Linked DNA regions of Coturnix japonica. The protein of the gene in region 1 binds, or shares a complex with, the protein of each later gene. Links are inferred from orthologs where the notes say so. Each region holds a gene or a part of one and is shown in the gene's direction. Other genes may lie near its edges.

Region 1 (5,168 bases):
TAAGTGGGTCCATGCCATGCCATACCATGTTGTGCCATGCCATGCCATGCTATGCTGTGCCATGCCATGCCATACTAAGTGGTACCATGCCATGCCATGCCAAGTGGCACTGAGCACAGTGGCACCGTGCCATGCCAAGCATTGCTTCACCTCTCCCATCTGTTGCAGGGGGGAAGCGTGACACCGAGCTCATCCTGCCCATCAACTCCTCTCTCAGCGTCACGCTGCACCAGGACCAGGTTGGTGCCCACCTCAAACCCTGGGGATCCCATATCCCCACCCTCAGGGCTGTGTGCCCCCCCCCATGAGCTCAGTGCCATCCCATACAGCTGAGGACCACAACCACGGCTGCTGCCTGCCGTGACTTCACCGAGGACCGGCTGTGGCTGAATGGAGAGGAGGTGGATGCGGCACAGCCCCGGCTGCAGGCCTGTCTGAGGGAGGGTGAGCTGGGCTGGGGGCTGGGGGGGCACAGAGCCGTGTCCTTTGCTTCCCTATAACCCCATCCCTGCACAGTGCGGCGCTTGGCCCGTAAGAGACGCGGTGACGACGCTGCAGCCCCGCTCAGCCTGTCCTACAAAGTGCACGTCGCCTCCGAGAACAACTTCCCCACCGCTGCTGGGTTGGCATCCTCAGCTGCTGGCTACGCCTGCCTGGGTGGGTATGGGGGGCAGCAATGGGGTGGGGGGTGATGGGGACGCTGTGACCATAACGCTGTTATCCCTGCAGTGTCGGTGCTGGCACGGCTCTATGGTGTGGAGGGGGAGCTGTCGGAGGTGGCACGGCGTGGGTCGGGCAGCGCGTGTCGCAGTATGTTGGGGGGCTTCGTACAATGGAACCGTGGGGAGAGGCCGGATGGTAGAGACAGCGTGGCACAGCAGCTGGCACCTGAGACACACTGGCCGGAGCTGAGTGTCCTCGTGCTGGTGGTGAGGGATGGGGTTGATGCTGGGGGTGGGAGGTGGACGCCTTGTAGGGTGCCCCATGTCTTGTGTTCTGGTGTAGGTCAGCGGGGAGAAGAAGGCGGTGGGCAGCACGGCGGGGATGCAGACCAGTGTGGACACCAGCCCCCTGCTGAAGGTGGGTTGGATGGTTGGTGATGAGCAGCACAGGCTGCATGGGGAGGTGGGGAGGTGTCGGGGTGTGAGCATGGTGGGATGGGTTGGGTTTGGGGATCATGGCCACCTCCTCCAATGGCTGAGTACTGAGGGGCCATGGGAAGTGAATCCTATGGGATCCATGAGATGACCCCCCCCTGGTGCTGCCCCTATAGTACCGTGCTGAGGTGGTGGTGCCGGAGCGCATGACCCGCATGGCTCGCTGCATCCAGGATCGAGACTTTGAGACCTTTGGCCAGCTGACCATGCAGGACAGCAACCAGTTCCACGCCACCTGCCTCGACACCTTCCCCCCCATCTTCTACCTCAATGACATCTCGCGGCGCATCATCGCCCTGGTGCATCGCTTCAATGCCCACCATGGGTGCACCAAGGTAGGGCAGCCCCCCCCCTATGGCCCCGTCCTGCTGGCACTGCACCCCTCTCACTGTGTCCCTGTCCCCAGGTGGCCTATACCTTCGATGCTGGCCCCAATGCGGTCGTCTTCATGCTGGAGGATACAGTGGATGAGTTTGTGGAGGTGGTGAGGCGCAGCTTCCCACCCAGCTCCAATGGGGACCAGTAAGGGTGTTGTCATTTGGGACTGGGGGGGTGGGAATGGGGATGGGGACATTTGGGTGGGAATGGGGATGGAGATGATGGCTATAGGCACTGGTGGGATGGCGATAGGGATGGAGATGTGGACGGGGACTGGTGGGATGGGGATGGGGATGGAACCATGGGACATGGGGTGGGGTTGGGGACATCTGGGTGCCATCCCTGCTGCAGGTTCCTTCGAGGCCGACCCGTTGGCACAGCGGTGCTGCCAGAGGAGCTGCTGTCAGCCGTGGTGATGGATCCGGTACCAGGGGCCATTCGTTACATCCTACACACCAAGGTATGGGAGGTGGGGGTGGTCCTGAGCCTCCTGCTCCGTGCTGTCCCCTAACACATCTCCTGTCCCCACAGCCTGGCCCTGGCCCACAGCTCCTGGATGCCCCCAGCCAGCATCTACTGGGCCCCGATGGGCTGCCATGCCACTCTGCCTGAGAACAGGGGACACCGTGATGGGGACACCGTGATGGGGACACCATTGGGGACAGCAGGGATGCCCAATGGGGGCTGCCCCTGGGGGGCACACAGGCAGGGACCCACCGTCCCATTGCCTGCATTGGGGCTGTGAGATGCTGTGCTCATCTGTCCCCATCCCGACCCAGATGTGGCTCCTCCCATTGCCTGGTTTTTACTCTTTTCTAATCAAATAATAGAGGTTTTCCAGCCGCAGTGCTGCTCTGAGTCCCGAGTCGCTCCGTGGTCCCCATTAGGGCTGCTCCTGCCCCATGTCACCCTATATATTCCCATGTCACCCTATATATTCCCATGTCACCCTATATATTCCCGTATCACCCCGTGTCCCCCTACGGCCCGGCTCTTCGTGGGGGCGTGTCTTTGTAATGAATGGGCGTGGGTTACTCGAAGGGGCGTCGCTTAAGGAGGGGAAGGGGTTCGGCTGTTCGGCTCCATCGCTGCCTTCCGGGTCGGGTTGGGCCGAGCCCGAACTAAGGCTGAGCTCGAACCATGGGGCAGATCGAATGGGCCATGTGGGCCAACGAACAGGCGCTGGCGGCGGGGCTGAGTGAGTGCGGGGGGGAGATGGGGAGTTAAAGGGGCTGGGTGATGGGGGGAGGGTCAAAGGGTCCCATGTGGGATGGGGATGCAGGGATGGGGGTGAGGATATGGGGAAGGGAGTTCAGGGCTGGGGGTGTAGGGTTGAGAATGTGAGGCTATAGATACGGGATATGGGGAGAGACCCCTGGCTGTGTTCCCCCCCGACCCCCCCATCCCGTTTTGGCCCAACCCCGCCCGGAGATGGAGGAAGTGAGCGGCGATGAGGACGCGGAAGCGCTGCCGGAGCGTATCACCAACATCGTGTGTCACCGTGGGTCTCCCCCCCGCTGCCCCCCAGCCCGGCCGCTATAGGGTTTAACCCCCAACCCCCCGCCCCGTTCCCTGTTTGGGCTCGTGGGGGTCCCACGCGAAGCATCCCCCGCTGTTAATAGCCGGGATGCCAGCAGTGTCCCCGCTGTCCCGCAGTCATGCTGACCGGAGGGATCGTGGCGGTGGCGGGGCAGTTCAAGGGCTGGTACTTCGCAGCTTACGCCATGTATCCTTATGGGGCTCGGGGTGGGAGGGGGCACCTTATTCTGTGCAGGCGGGGAGGGGGGGGGGGGGGTCCCTCATCTCCCTCTCTGTGGCCCCACATCGCTCTATTCCTGCCCCTTTCCCTATGGAGCTGCCCCCCAACCCTGGCCCCATTTCTGCCCCATTCCCTGTGGGGTCTCACCCCCACCCTTGGCTCCAAACCCCCCTTTTCCTTGACCCCCATCCCCCTGCAGTGCTGCAGGCGCCTTCGTCTGCCTGTTGGAATACCCACGCAGCAAGAGGCAGAAGGGCTCCACCATGGAGCGCTGGTGAGTGATGGGGTGCTATTGGGGTGCCTATATATATTTAGGGGGGGGGTCTTTTGGGGCCGGGTGCCCCCCTGACTCTGCATATTGCCCCATAGTGGCCAGAAGTACATGACAGCAGTGCTGAAGGTGTTTGGACCGCTCACCCGGAACTATTACATCCGTGCCATCCTGCACGCAGCGTGAGTGGGGTTGGGGCTGGGGGGTGAACCTGAACCCCCCCCCCTTTTAACCTTCCCCTGTACCCTCAGGCTGGCCGTCCCTGCTGGCTTCCTGCTCTCCACCATCCTGGGCACCGTCTGTTTGGGCATTGCCAGTGGCATCTACCTGCTGGTGAGCTCCTCTGGGGGGGTAATGGGGGCTGATTATGGGGCTGAAGGAGGGGGCTCCCTGCTGACTGCTCCCCCCTGGCCCTGCAGGCAGCGGTGCGTGGGGAGGAATGGCGACCCATTGAGCAGAAGCCCCGCGAGCGGCCGCACATGGGGGACACCATCAAACAGCCCCCCAGCAACCCCCCACCCCGACCCCCTGCTGATGCACGCAGGAAACAGGCAGCAGAAGTGGGGGGGCAGGTGAACCCCATCCCTGTAGAGGCTGAGTAACACGGAGCTGGGGGTCCCAGTGCTGCACTCACTTCCCTACTGTACCCCTCACCCCCCCATTGGTCCCCAGACCCCTAGGGGTGCTCATCTCCCCTCCTTCCCCCCCCTTGGTTCCTCAGAATCCCTGGGGGCTGCTCAGGTGCCCCCATATCCCAAGGAGCTCCCCCAGCCTCACAGCCCCATTGTGGGCTCACGCAGCTCTGCTTGCTGCGCCACCTCTTCACGTTTTATACATTGTCTTTTTTCTTTTCTGGTTGCTTTTTGCAATAAAAGGACCGAAAGGCCCCAGATCCTTCCTGATCACACCCCATTCATGTGCCCTGGGTGTGAGTTGGGAGCTCAGTGCCCAAATCTTTAGTGACCCCAGCGATGGGACAGACCTGCAGTGGTTAGGGTTAGGGTACCCAGAGGTGACACCCCCAGCCCCATATCCCCTCTCCCCCCACCTCCAGCACCCATGGGTGCTCTAAAAGCATATGGAACAACCCCGGTAGGTGGCGCTGAGTCCATGGGATGTGAGTGCTTGGGGCAGAGCTGTGAGAAAGGAGTGGGTGGTGACAGGGTGCTGGCATGGGGCCGCCCCCATTCCCCCCCCTTCCCTCCCCATTGCCTCCCCCTTCCCCTGGGTGTGCTTTGGGGATGGGAGATGCCCCCCAGCATCCACTGGGGTGGCTGGGATGGGGGTTCCCAATGCACCTCTATCCCCGCATCCTTGGCACCTCCCCTCCAGCATCCACAGGGGGACCCTGTGCACCTCAACCCTTTGCCCTCCCATTTATCCCAGTGTGGCACATTGTGGGGTCAGGCTTTTATTTTCAGGCTGGCGTTCAGTAGCACATGGAGGTCTCAATAAATAGCACTGAGGGGGAATAAATAACTGGGGAGGGCTAAGGCAGAGCCCAGGGCTGCTGCCTTATGGGGGTTCAAGGGGCTGTGGGGGGGGGGGGGTTCAGCAATAAATACAGGGTTACAAAAATAAATCCCCCAGCGGGCATCATAAA
Region 2 (5,644 bases), on another chromosome or scaffold:
CCTCATCAAACCAAAATAGGTTCACAGAATCATGGAATCATTTGATTTGGAAGGGATTGTTTCAGACAGGTTCTTAGTGATATCAGGCTAAAGCATCTTTAGCATCACTAAAGAATTTGCAGGTAGGACAACAGCCATATAAAGAAAGAAGAGTTAAACTCACCCACCTGGTGGAAAAGTCTCTGAGCACACAGCACTCCTCAGGAAGCAAAGCAGGCCTAAGAGATGCTCATCCTTCCATGGCTGGCCCTTATATGAGCCAGGGTGGATTCACCGTGGGTTCACCCCTTCTGGTCACATGGGAAGTACAGGTGCAAACAGTTTGCTTGTGTTCCCTGGCCCAGCCACAGCCCTTCACCTGGAGCTCAATCACCAATTCATGCCATGACCTAACAGTTTCCCTACAACCCCCAAGTCATTTCCATCATGGCTGTGCTCTATCCTTTATCCATCAACTTGCACTAATAGTGGGGGTTGTCATGACTCATGTGCAAGACCTTGCACTTGGATTTGTTGAGCTCCACAAGATTCTCCTTGTTCATTGCTCAGCCTGTCTAGGTCTCTCTGAACAACATCCCGTCCCTTGGCATGTTGACTGCACCACACATAAGCTTTCAACTTGATTGTGGCCATTCTTGCGGGGCACTCTATTCCTCCCATGATAGAGAGCGAACGCCTCCCCTCCTTCCTCACCTGTCCCTTCTGAAAGCTTGGAGTTGCCTATAGCCACAGAGTGCCAGCAGCCAAGTGCTGCATTTCCTGCAGTGAGGACTGCACTGTCCTGCACGCTCAGAATTCTCTTGTTCTTCCTCATTCTTCTGATTCCTCGAGTAATGATTCTGCATTTATAGTTCGATTTATTTATACAATTTTTTTTAGTCAGACTGGGGCAAACAAAATAATCCAACATAGTTCAACATGTTTCTCTCCTCAGGCGCTGGCTGCTGGTGGAGTTGGGTCTATCGTCCGTGTTTTGACCGCCAGGAAAACGGTTTAACTCAGCAACCAAGGGCTGTTTGCTCTCCGTGGTGTGGGAAATGCTGGTGCAAAACCCAACCAGATGCCATTGCTGCCCTGTGGGCAGCGCCTGTCTCTCAGCTTGCCTTCTCGCTGCTTCTTTCATACCTGACAAGTAACGCATATCGTGATCTCTTTTTGTTCAACTCTGGAAAAACTATGAAGGTGCAATTTTATTTCTAACAGGACTCTTTGGTACTCGAGCATTTCAGTGACACGCATAGCTACATTTACAACATATTTAGGGTGATTCGTATTTGTGTATAATCATGGCAGATTTGGGCCTGACTTTCCACGCAAGTGCTGAGGGACGTAGGGCAATGTCTTAATCCTTTTTGCCAGCCAAACAGTGTGATTTGAGAAGTGGGGCAGCTGTTAACGTTGGTAACTGGACCATGTTTCCTTTGGTCAACCTCTGAGCCTACAGCAGTGAGTAGGACAGAAAAGAGCAGCTTCCTTCTGACCGATCATCATTCCATGAAGCCAGCTATTGTCCTTAACCTCACACCTTGTGGCCTGTTCCGGATGTGCTGTGATCAGTCATAGACCAGGTGCACAGCAGGCAGATCACAGCGAGGATGGAGCTGTACATCCGTATGCTAGAATGTAAAGGTCCATTTACACTGGAGCTAAAGATCCTACACAGGAGAAGTAAAGGGATGTAGAATTAAGGCTTAGCAGACAGTTGACATCCCTGCTGTACTTGCATTAGCAAGTGGGCAAATAGAAGCTCCAATATAAAGAGGAGTATATTAAAAAGGAATTAAGGAAGCATTGGGCATCCCAGCCCACAGCTCACCACGGAAGGTCAGGGCCAGGACTGAGACCATTTTACAACAGTTCCGTTTGTGTGAAACGGTTGGATGACTTGTGAAATCTTTGCTGTTTTTTGATATCTGCTTTTTTTGTTTGTTGGTTTCTTTGTTTTTTTGTAATAAAAACGAGACAAATAAATCGTCACTGAATATTTAACCTGGAGTCTGAGATATCTTGAAGCTGACTTTAATTCTGCAGTTAGCTGAACGCGAGGGAAGGCCTCTGTTCTGCTGGCTGCTGCTGAGTGAAACGGGAAGAGGCGGTGAGCTAATGAGCACTGTGCACATCACATGGCCCTGCTCACCCCCAGAGCAGCATCACACCATGGATGCACTCCCCTTTGTGGAGGTGCAGATGTGTGACACGAGGAGCTGCTGATCTCTCTCCTCAGACAACCCCCACACGAAGCCCCCCGAAGCACAACCCAAGGAGGACGTGATGCAATGCAGGTACAGCCCCAAGTGGAAGCCTGTAGAGGCAGGGCAGCTCCACTTCCCCATCTCAGGGCCGTGCCGCTCTGACGCCACCGAGGCCACTTCCTGGTGGGTCTGTGACACCAGGCAGACGTGCAGCAGGGAGGAGCTGGACAAGGAAGGCACACACTGCAGGGAAGGCTGGGCAGGAGAGCACCCAACACAGCTGGGCACAGCTGGGCACACCACAATGTCGCTGGTGGAGACCATCCGGCTGTGGCAAGAGGGAGTGTGTGCAGCGGATGGCAAGGAGTGGGGGGCAGCCCTGAAGGCCTTCACTGCTGTCCAGAACCCACCGGCCAAAATCTGCTTCAACATTGGCTGCATCCACCTGGTCCTGGGGCAGCTGGCCGACGCACAGGAGGTAAGGCACAGCTCGCAGTGCTGCAGTGCTGTCACCCACTTCTCCCTTCTCACCCCTCTTGCCCTGCTCCCTACAGGCATTCACACAGAGCATCAGCTGTGACAAGCACTTGGCCGTGGCCTATTTCCAGCGGGGAACTGTCTTCTACAAGAGACACAAGTGAGTGCAAAGCTTCAGCACCTCAGTTTTACCCCTCGTTCAGCTGTTGGCCTTGGGCAGTGTGGGGTACCAGGGATTCAGCCCTGAGGTGAAGTGTTTATGCGGGGTATCACAACACCATCACAAGGCCTTACCTCGTCCTCTCCTCCCCAGCCATGAAATGGCCATGAAGGATTTCAAGCAGGCTCTGGCCCAGCTGAGAGGCAACCAGCTCATCGACTACAAGATCCTGGGGCTGCGCTACAGGCTCTTTGCTTGTGAGGTGAGAGAAACCAAATAGTGTTTCAGTCTTGGTCACTGGCTCAACAGAATCCAGGGGAAATTCACCCAATGGTGTTTCAATGGGCTCATCATGTCCAGAGAAGGAATTGTGTGGGGTGTGGAGCACAGTGTGATGGGGAGCAGCTGAGGGAATGGGATGGGGCAGTGTGGAGGAGCCTGAAAGGAGGCTGTGGTGAGGTGGGGTCGGCCTCTGCTCCTGGTAACAGTGATAGGATGAGAGGGAATGGCCTCAAATTGCACCAGGGGAGATTCAGGTTGGATATGAGGAACATTTCTCCTTCCAAAGAGTGGTGATGCAGTGGCACAGCTGCCCAGGGAGGTGCTGCAGTCACCATCCCTGGAGGTGTCCAAGAACTGTGGAGATGTGGCATTGAGGGTCGTGGTTAGTGAGCACGGCGGGGATGGATTTGGTGATCTAAGAGCTCTTTTCCAAAATGAAGGATTCTATGACTCACGCCTTACAAAATAAATCAGGCACACCAGGGTGGGGATGGAGAGCTGGTGTGATGCAAGGATGTCATTAGGGTAGCAAAAAACACCCACAGCAAGGGTCTGGTGCCTCTAAAAGACCATTTCCTTGCTCCCATCCCTCTGCAGATCCTTTACAACATCGCGCTGGTGTATGCCACCATGGAGGACTGGAAGAAAGCTGAGGAGCACCTGACGCTGGCAATGAGCTCAAAGAGTGAGCCCCAGCACAACAAGATTGACAGGGCGATGGAAGCCATCCTGGTGAGGAGCAGCAGGTCTCAGCACAGTGCCTGCCTATGGAGGGCCGTGACTAGATGATCTTCAAAGTCTTTTCCAACCTTAATGATTTCTCCCTGCTACAGAAGCAGCAGCTCTATGAGCCAGTGGCAATTCCCACAGGGAAGCTGTTTCGACCGAATGAAAAGCAAGTTGCTCAGCTGGAGAAGAAAGACTACCTGGGAAAAGCCATGGTAAGAAAGGAGCGTTAATGCAAGCTGTGTCTGCAGGCTGGAGACAAACCCAGAGCACCCACACCCGACGAGGTTGACTTGGATGGCAGCAAAGGAGGACAGTGGATGTGAGAGATCAGAGGTGTAAGAAAAGCACCAGGTCACAGCATGTCTTCCTTTGGCTGTAGGTGGTGGCATCCGTGGTGGACAAGGATAGTTTTTCAGGATTTGCTCCCCTCCAGCCACAGGTAAGGAACCAACCCCCTGCAGTCCACATGGTGCAAAGAGCTTCAAGCATACACAGGGAAGGGGTGACAGTGGTGACACAGAGCAGTGTCACCAGGCCAAGCTTCCTACCACGGCCAGGGTAAGGAAGAAGCTGCTCCCACATCCCAGCTGCTTCCTTCACCAGAGGTCACAGCCCAAGCCCACTCATGTCTGAGCAGAGGTTATGGGGAAGCCAGGCCTTCAGAATGCACCCCATGCCCCCATTGTGGGGTGGTGGTTTTGGTAGGGAGCTCAGGGCGGTGACAAATCCTCCCCATGAGATTCATAAGGGCTGAGTGGAGAAGGAAACTGATGACCTGATACCAGCATGAGAAGGAGGGACCCACACAGGCATGGGAAAGAACTGCAGGACATTTCTGCAAAGCAACCCAAATCCTCCAGATTATGACAGATTTCTTTCTGTCTTCTTCACAGGCCTCTGGGCCTCCACCCAGGCCCAAGACACCAGAAATCCTCAGGTAGGTTGGATGAAACATTGGCAGCATTGCAAACATGTGCAGCCTGGTGCAGCCGTGTCCTGCACCATCCAGCTGAGTGTTCAGAACCAGTGGGGGGAAAGGAGGAGAGAAACAAAGGAGCAGAGTTTAGGCCCCCCTATGAGGTAGAACAGTAGCATCACCCCCTGCTCCTGACATGATGCTGGCTTCCATTCCCAGGGCTCTTGAAGGGCAGCCACACCGTGTCCTGTATGAGTTCATCCCTGAAACTGCTGAGGAGCTGCAGGTCCTGCCAGGAAACATCGTCTTTGTCCTGAAGAAAGAGAAGGACAACTGGGCTACGGTGATGTTCAATGGGAAGGTAGGGGGTCTGCCTGGCACAAAAGGGAGATTTACAGAGGCCTGGAAGGAGTTTCTGAACCCAGTTTCCTTGCATCCCCTATTTGAGGGGCTATGAGCTGGTAGAGGCAACCTCCTGGTGTCCTGCTCCTGTTGCTCCTACCAGGCAGGGGCCAGATGTGCTGCTTTGTTTGCCTGACCACATGTGCTCAAGGCAATAAAGTGAGCTGGTTCACCCTTGCTGCCCATCTTGGGGTGCCATACAGAAATCATTCCTTCAATCTCCTGGACGGTCGACTAACACCATCTGTTCCCTTTGTCTCTTCCCTGCAGAAAGGGATCGTCCCCTGCAACTTCCTTGAGCCCATGGAGCTCCAGCACAAGCTGCACGTCCAGGTAAGGAGCCCAGGAGGAGCTGGTGGCCCCAGGAAACCACATAGATCACCCAGCAGGATCCATGCCTGCAAATCTCTCTTACAATGCTGTGGGACTCCTGGCTCATGGCTATCTCATGGCTACTGCCCTGTTCCACCCCAAATCAATGGACAG
Region 3 (5,458 bases), on another chromosome or scaffold:
TGTGGCACACTACCAGCTCTACCAGCAATGCTTCATTTGAATATCACTGGCCTCATTCAAGCTGTAAATGTTGGGCATTTTTCTTCCACCAGTATCATTCTCTAGAACCACATATAGCTGCCTTCTATTCCCACTGAGTCTCTACCTCAACCATATTTCTGCAGCTGTCTGCCCTTTCCATTTCCTACCGCTGCTGTCCCTATAGCAGCCTTTGTGACTCTCCCTTCTGTCCTTCCTGACCCATATTCTCTGCATTTCCACATCCCATTCCTGCTCTTGCAAAGGAGTCAGTGGGTTTCCTCCCCCCCCCCTTTCCCTACCACCCACAGAGGGAACACCTAGTACATCTGGTAGTTTTATGCTTCTGACACAGCCGCGAGGCTTGGAAACTTTCCACGGTTGAATGTTTTTGGGTTGCAGCCAACACTGAGTGACGGATAGGAAAGTGCTACACACCTGAATGGGTCAACTGCAAAAAACCTCCTGTGGCTGTGGCAGCACGAAGGTCACCAACCTTTGGAAAAGCAGTTTCCCTCGGCATTCCTTCTTTCAAGAACAAGCTGGCTTAACACCCACTGCTCTTGGTCTAACAGGCCTCCTGACAGACCTAGAAATTCTAATTAATTCTGCGTCACCGCATCCCTTCCTCTCTCAAGTGTGCCTCTATCTGTCTACCCATCAATTCAGGCTGAAGACATGAACATGTGCGCTCTTTTCCAGGCATAGCAATGCAAGCTGGGGGAAGTAAGGAGGAGCTTCAGACTCTCATTCTGAGGAGTGAAAGGAAGGAGTAGAGCACCATGTCTCTTATTTCTGAAGGTGACTGCATCCCTCTCTTTGTTGCTTAGCTCTAAAACTCTTCAAAATCCCAAGGACAAGATGAAGGATATCCTATCAGCAGTTCTCATAGGCTGCTTTAGCACAGAGTGGAGAGAGAGAAAATGGTTTGTGGGGACTCTCTTGCACAATTCTTAGCTCTTCTAGTAGCAGCTGGATAAAGAAAATTCAGTACATCCTCTGATATGTTTACTCCTCTTCATGACAAACACATAGATACACCTAATGCTTCTTTGTACTAGTAATTCAGGAGCAGATGAGGAGGAGGCACAGGACATTATTGCTCCAGGGGTGGTGGAACAAGCAGCCATGGGGTAGATGCTGCTTCCAAGAGACTGCTTATTTCACCACTGACACTGAGGGATAGACCCATTAGAGCTGGAAAGACCAAGATCACCCAATCAAACTGCCAGCCCATCCCCACCATACCTACCGACCATGTCCTCAGTGCCACATCCACACGGCTCTGGAACACCTCCAGGGACGGTGACTGCACCACCTCCCTGGGCAGCCTGTGCCACTGCATCACTGCTCTTCCTGAGAAGAAATTCTTCCTAATATTCAATCTGAACTTTCCCCAGAGAAACGTGAGGCCATTACCTCTTGTCCTTTTGATACAGGGAAGACATGGGAAATCCTCATTGCCTCATGTCCTTTGCTACTCTCACTGCAGGTCCTCTTGCCTGTTTACACCTCTTTCAAACTCTGTATGCTACAGATGAGAGGGGAAAGCCCACTCTTCCAGTTTCTCACCCTTCTCCAACATTACCTCAGCTCCCATGCAAAAGCAGTTTGGTGCCCCCAGATGTTGGCTCGGATGGGGCAGGAAGGCAGTGGGTTGAGACATGAGGTGCAAAAGAAAAAAATTACAGCAATAATCTCCCAAACCACAAAGTCATGCACGCTCCGCCTACAGCTAACGGCCTCACTGCAGAGCTGCGGTGGGAGGGGAGGAGGAACCAGAGGGCGATTGAGTGAAGTTCCCTCTTCCACTTCCTCCCTCCCTGCAACCTGACCCCTTGCTCCGGCTCAAGGTCTGATACCCAAATTTGCCCGTGTCTACTGGCTGTTTGCCTTGACCTGACTTTCCTTTGCCCCAGGCACTGTCCTCCACCACAGGTCTAAGGACATGCAAGCCATCAAGTGTGTCGTGGTGGGAGATGGGTATGTATCCCCTTCTTTTTCTGTGGGAGGGAGGAGTGGTGATGAGGGGTGAGGAAGAAGGTTGCTGCTTGCTGAGACCTCCCCAGCTTCATTTCCTATCTCTTACAGCTCTGCATTGCATTTCTTGCTCCTCTTTCTTCACCATGGCAAGGAACTTGGCTCTGAAGAGCCTGGGGGGGGAGAAGAGGGTGCTTTGAAGGGCATTTGCAAAAGTGGAACTGTCACTCACAGGCCTGGCAGATCTGGCTCACACACAGAAGGCAGTGGCATCACTGCCAGATTCAACCTATGGGTAGGAGTCAGATTGAAAATCTGAGAGGTGCAAGCGCCCTGCTGCAGGGGAATGGCTCCTTGAAGGCCATCTGCTCACTGGGGCTGGCCAAAGGAAGATGCAGAGCCATAGTGCTGATGAGATATCCTCCAGTATCTGCACATTCAGCCTTTCTTAATGTGTTGTCCATTTTTCAGTGTGTGGGGAGAGTATTTGGTGATGGGCTTCTGTGGGCGCAAGGAAAAAGGGATTGCAATGAGATGGGTGTAGGTTTATACCCCTTGGAAGCATGCACTGTCCATGTCCCATGACCTTTGGAAATCGATCTAAGCTGACAAAAAGCAAGGCAGTGGTGCTGGGGACCTGGGGTACAAGGTCTGTGGATGGGTGGGATGAGTGGATGAAGGGAGCAGAGTCCAGCAGGGAGCAGGTCATCAGGCATGGAGGTGGTTAATTCATTTCCTAGCTGGGAGCTGGCCAGAATGTTATCTGGGACAGCTATCAGGCAACAGATGAAGAGACATTTGCAGCAGCCCTGCTCCCCACAGTCACTTCCTCCTTCAGATCTACCCCATGGAGGAAGAAGTTTGCAAACAGCAATAGATGTCAGACATATTCTCAGAGGCTGGGGCAACAGGGTTGGAGGAAGAGACAGGGAATGAGACAGTGCTGTGTAAACATTGTTACATTTTGGAAAAGTGCACCAAAGGGTACAGGCTAGAGCTGGAAGAGCAACAGTACTGGGCATTGATATGTTGTCCTGTTAACCTGTGGGTTGCCCTCCATATATTATGCTGACTCTTGTAACCACCCCTCAAGGCAGCATTCCCCTTATAACACCACTGACTCCACTACACGTCCTTCTGACTGAAATCCTCCTAAATCTTTTGTCTGCCCCATAATTCTGCTTCTCTGTACACTTCCCCCACCCTCCAACTAGTTGTCACCACCCTGAGCTCTGTGGTTTTATTTCACCCCCTTCATCTCCCTCTCAGCCAAACCAGCCTTGTCATTTTCCACCAACTCAAACCTACTGACCACAGGACCTTCTGCCATCACTTAACTGACCCCTCATGTTCCCCCATAGTTGTTCTGGCCTCATAGCCAGCCCCATCACATATCACCTGCCTCTTAGCTCTCCCTGAGTTCAATCACAGGAACCTGCTTTGCCATAACCTTCACCCCTTTGGTGACCCTTTGTGCTCCTCTCAGTTCAGTCACACTAATTCAGAACCTTCTCTCCTTTCCATGCCTAACTCACCCCCTTGGCACCACAGGTCTTCTGAGCCGTTCTGCATAGAGTGAGCCTCCATGGTCATCTACAACAAGAGCTAAGAGGGAAGCTGGGGAAAGAGAGGGAACTCAGTGAGGAGGATATAAGAATGGGAGGTGGCAGAGAGAAAAAAAAGCATCAGAGCATGCTGAAGAACTGTTTCATCTTCAGCTGCTTCACAGTGTGATGACTGAGGCAAGTGCCTCACCACCAGAGCAAAGATGCCAACTGTGCATGACAAGGGCACACCAACACACAGAGCCACAGCTCTGCAAAAGTAGACTTTGCAGGTATGGATGAAAAGCTTGGAGGCTGCTTCATGGCCAGATGGAGTGTCTCCACCAGTCCTCTTGCCCATTCTGTCTTGTGCTGCTACCCTGACTTATTTCTCTCCACCCTGATGCGGTGTGTGGGTGGGAGAGGCTGAGGAAGGAGGAAGCACCAGCTATATGCGCAAAAAAAGTGTGAGCAGCCTCAGTCAGCCACAAGGAGAGGCACCTTACTGGTGGCTTGCAGCTCTTGGTAAGGTTGATAGTGCAGCTTGCAGTGGCTCATAGATGGTGCAAACTGTCAAGGCTGCGGACAGCTGGGAAGCTTAGTTCTGACATTTCTGCACCAGGACACTGTGAGGCTATCCTGGCTATGAGTGTGCAGTACTGTGCACACACTGGAAAAGGGGCTCTTATCCCCACCTGGATGTAGTCTAACTGAACAGTCTTCATACCAGACCATAAAAACAAGCTTTTGTGCTCAAAGACAACCGACTGCTCTGGGTGACAGCATATCTTCCTTCCATCCGGCAGTCAAATCTATGGCTATGTGATATCTAGTCTTGTGAATGTGATAATCCTTCCATAGTTCTCCTAACAAACTTGTAGCTTTGAGTCATGGGAGGGTTTCTCCATCTCACCCCTGTAAGACTACCTGTACTACCATTGTTCCCAGCTATGTTTTTTATTTCTCTTCCAGAGCTGTGGGGAAAACCTGTCTCCTCATCAGCTACACCACCAATGCCTTCCCAGGAGAATACATCCCCACTGTGTGAGTGACACATCTGCAGTCTGGGGGTGGGTGGGAGGCACGGAAAGCAGGTTATAAAGGAATGCTGTCGTGAACCCCCATACCAGTAGAGGAAGAGAAGCCAAACCAACATGACTTCAGATTGTCATTCACCTTTCACCAAAAGCACTTAGAAAACCAAAGTATAAATGGAACACTTGGAAAACATTAATTAACCCAAGGGTCTACATGCCTGCCAAGTTTACAAGTAGCAGATGGAGTCTACTCCATCTACTCACCTCCTTGGGAGTGGCTGTGAAATGGCCATGTGTTTGTGGACTGCACAACATTTCTCCTCATGCCTGAGACTTGTGGTTGGAGATGATGAAAGGAGGCCATTTTGTGCTCCTTGCAGTAAGGCTTATCTCACAATGGCAGCGTGTGTCATGAGCAAGTTCAAAAAGTCTTTTCATTGCTTCCTTCCTGTCACTGGTTTCCCTTATGAAACATGAAAAAATACACCAGAAACAACAGAAAAGAATCTGCCTCTTGTCATGAGATGTGCAGAGTAAAAAATTTTGCCTCATCCCTCTTCTACTTTTTGAGCCTCAGAATATGTCTCTGCATTTCAGGTTTGATAACTATTCTGCCAATGTGATGGTTGACAGCAAGCCTGTAAATCTGGGGCTTTGGGATACTGCTGGACAAGAGGATTACGACAGGCTGAGGCCACTCTCTTACCCACAGACGGTGGGTCATACTCCACGCTCCTACTCTGGTTCTCCTTCAGATGTATTTCCTTTCCCTGCTGCAAAATCAACTTTTGCCAGACAGCAATGATAGGATTGTTCCCTTCTTTCTTTGCCCTCTTCTGAGAATCCCTATGTTGATATACAATACCTGGAAATCCTAAA

Evidence for each region. The genes of interacting proteins can lie anywhere in the genome.
Region 2: cytochrome b-245 light chain (region 1) and NCF2 share a complex: the UniProt entries of both Homo sapiens proteins name them as parts of the phagocyte NADPH oxidase complex. The link is inferred for Coturnix japonica from reciprocal best matches to the Homo sapiens genes CYBA and NCF2.
Region 3: cytochrome b-245 light chain (region 1) and RAC2 share a complex: the UniProt entries of both Homo sapiens proteins name them as parts of the phagocyte NADPH oxidase complex. The link is inferred for Coturnix japonica from reciprocal best matches to the Homo sapiens genes CYBA and RAC2.

Annotation. Positions count from the first base shown.
Region 1 is NC_029526.1:16,406,060-16,411,227, reverse strand, and holds cytochrome b-245 light chain, read left to right. Parts: upstream 1-2,420; 5' UTR 2,421-2,437; coding exon 2,438-2,733; intron 2,734-3,191; coding exon of another isoform or gene 3,192-3,261; intron 3,262-3,493; coding exon 3,494-3,568; intron 3,569-3,663; coding exon 3,664-3,747; intron 3,748-3,816; coding exon 3,817-3,898; intron 3,899-3,984; coding exon 3,985-4,167; 3' UTR 4,168-4,462; downstream 4,463-5,168. Other genes in the region: MVD (diphosphomevalonate decarboxylase), read left to right, coding at 169-239, 330-444, 517-657, 730-929, 1,006-1,080, 1,274-1,492, 1,564-1,679, 1,887-1,995 and 1 more. UniProt on the Homo sapiens protein: Subunit of NADPH oxidase complexes that is required for the NADPH oxidase activity that generates, in various cell types, superoxide from molecular oxygen utilizing NADPH as an electron donor.
Region 2 is NC_029523.1:4,316,540-4,322,183, forward strand, and holds the start of NCF2 (neutrophil cytosol factor 2), read left to right. Parts: upstream 1-1,978; 5' UTR 1,979-2,095; intron 2,096-2,104; exon of another isoform or gene 2,105-2,224; 5' UTR 2,225-2,271; coding exon 2,272-2,670; intron 2,671-2,746; coding exon 2,747-2,829; intron 2,830-2,982; coding exon 2,983-3,091; intron 3,092-3,708; coding exon 3,709-3,843; intron 3,844-3,944; coding exon 3,945-4,052; intron 4,053-4,219; coding exon 4,220-4,279; intron 4,280-4,733; coding exon 4,734-4,777; intron 4,778-4,975; coding exon 4,976-5,117; intron 5,118-5,428; coding exon 5,429-5,491; intron 5,492-5,644. Other genes in the region: ARPC5 (actin-related protein 2/3 complex subunit 5), read left to right, coding at 935-997. UniProt on the Homo sapiens protein: Subunit of the phagocyte NADPH oxidase complex that mediates the transfer of electrons from cytosolic NADPH to O2 to produce the superoxide anion (O2(-)).
Region 3 is NC_029516.1:46,919,707-46,925,164, forward strand, and holds the start of RAC2 (ras-related C3 botulinum toxin substrate 2), read left to right. Parts: upstream 1-1,792; 5' UTR 1,793-1,966; coding exon 1,967-2,001; intron 2,002-4,514; coding exon 4,515-4,586; intron 4,587-5,176; coding exon 5,177-5,294; intron 5,295-5,458. UniProt on the Homo sapiens protein: Plasma membrane-associated small GTPase which cycles between an active GTP-bound and inactive GDP-bound state.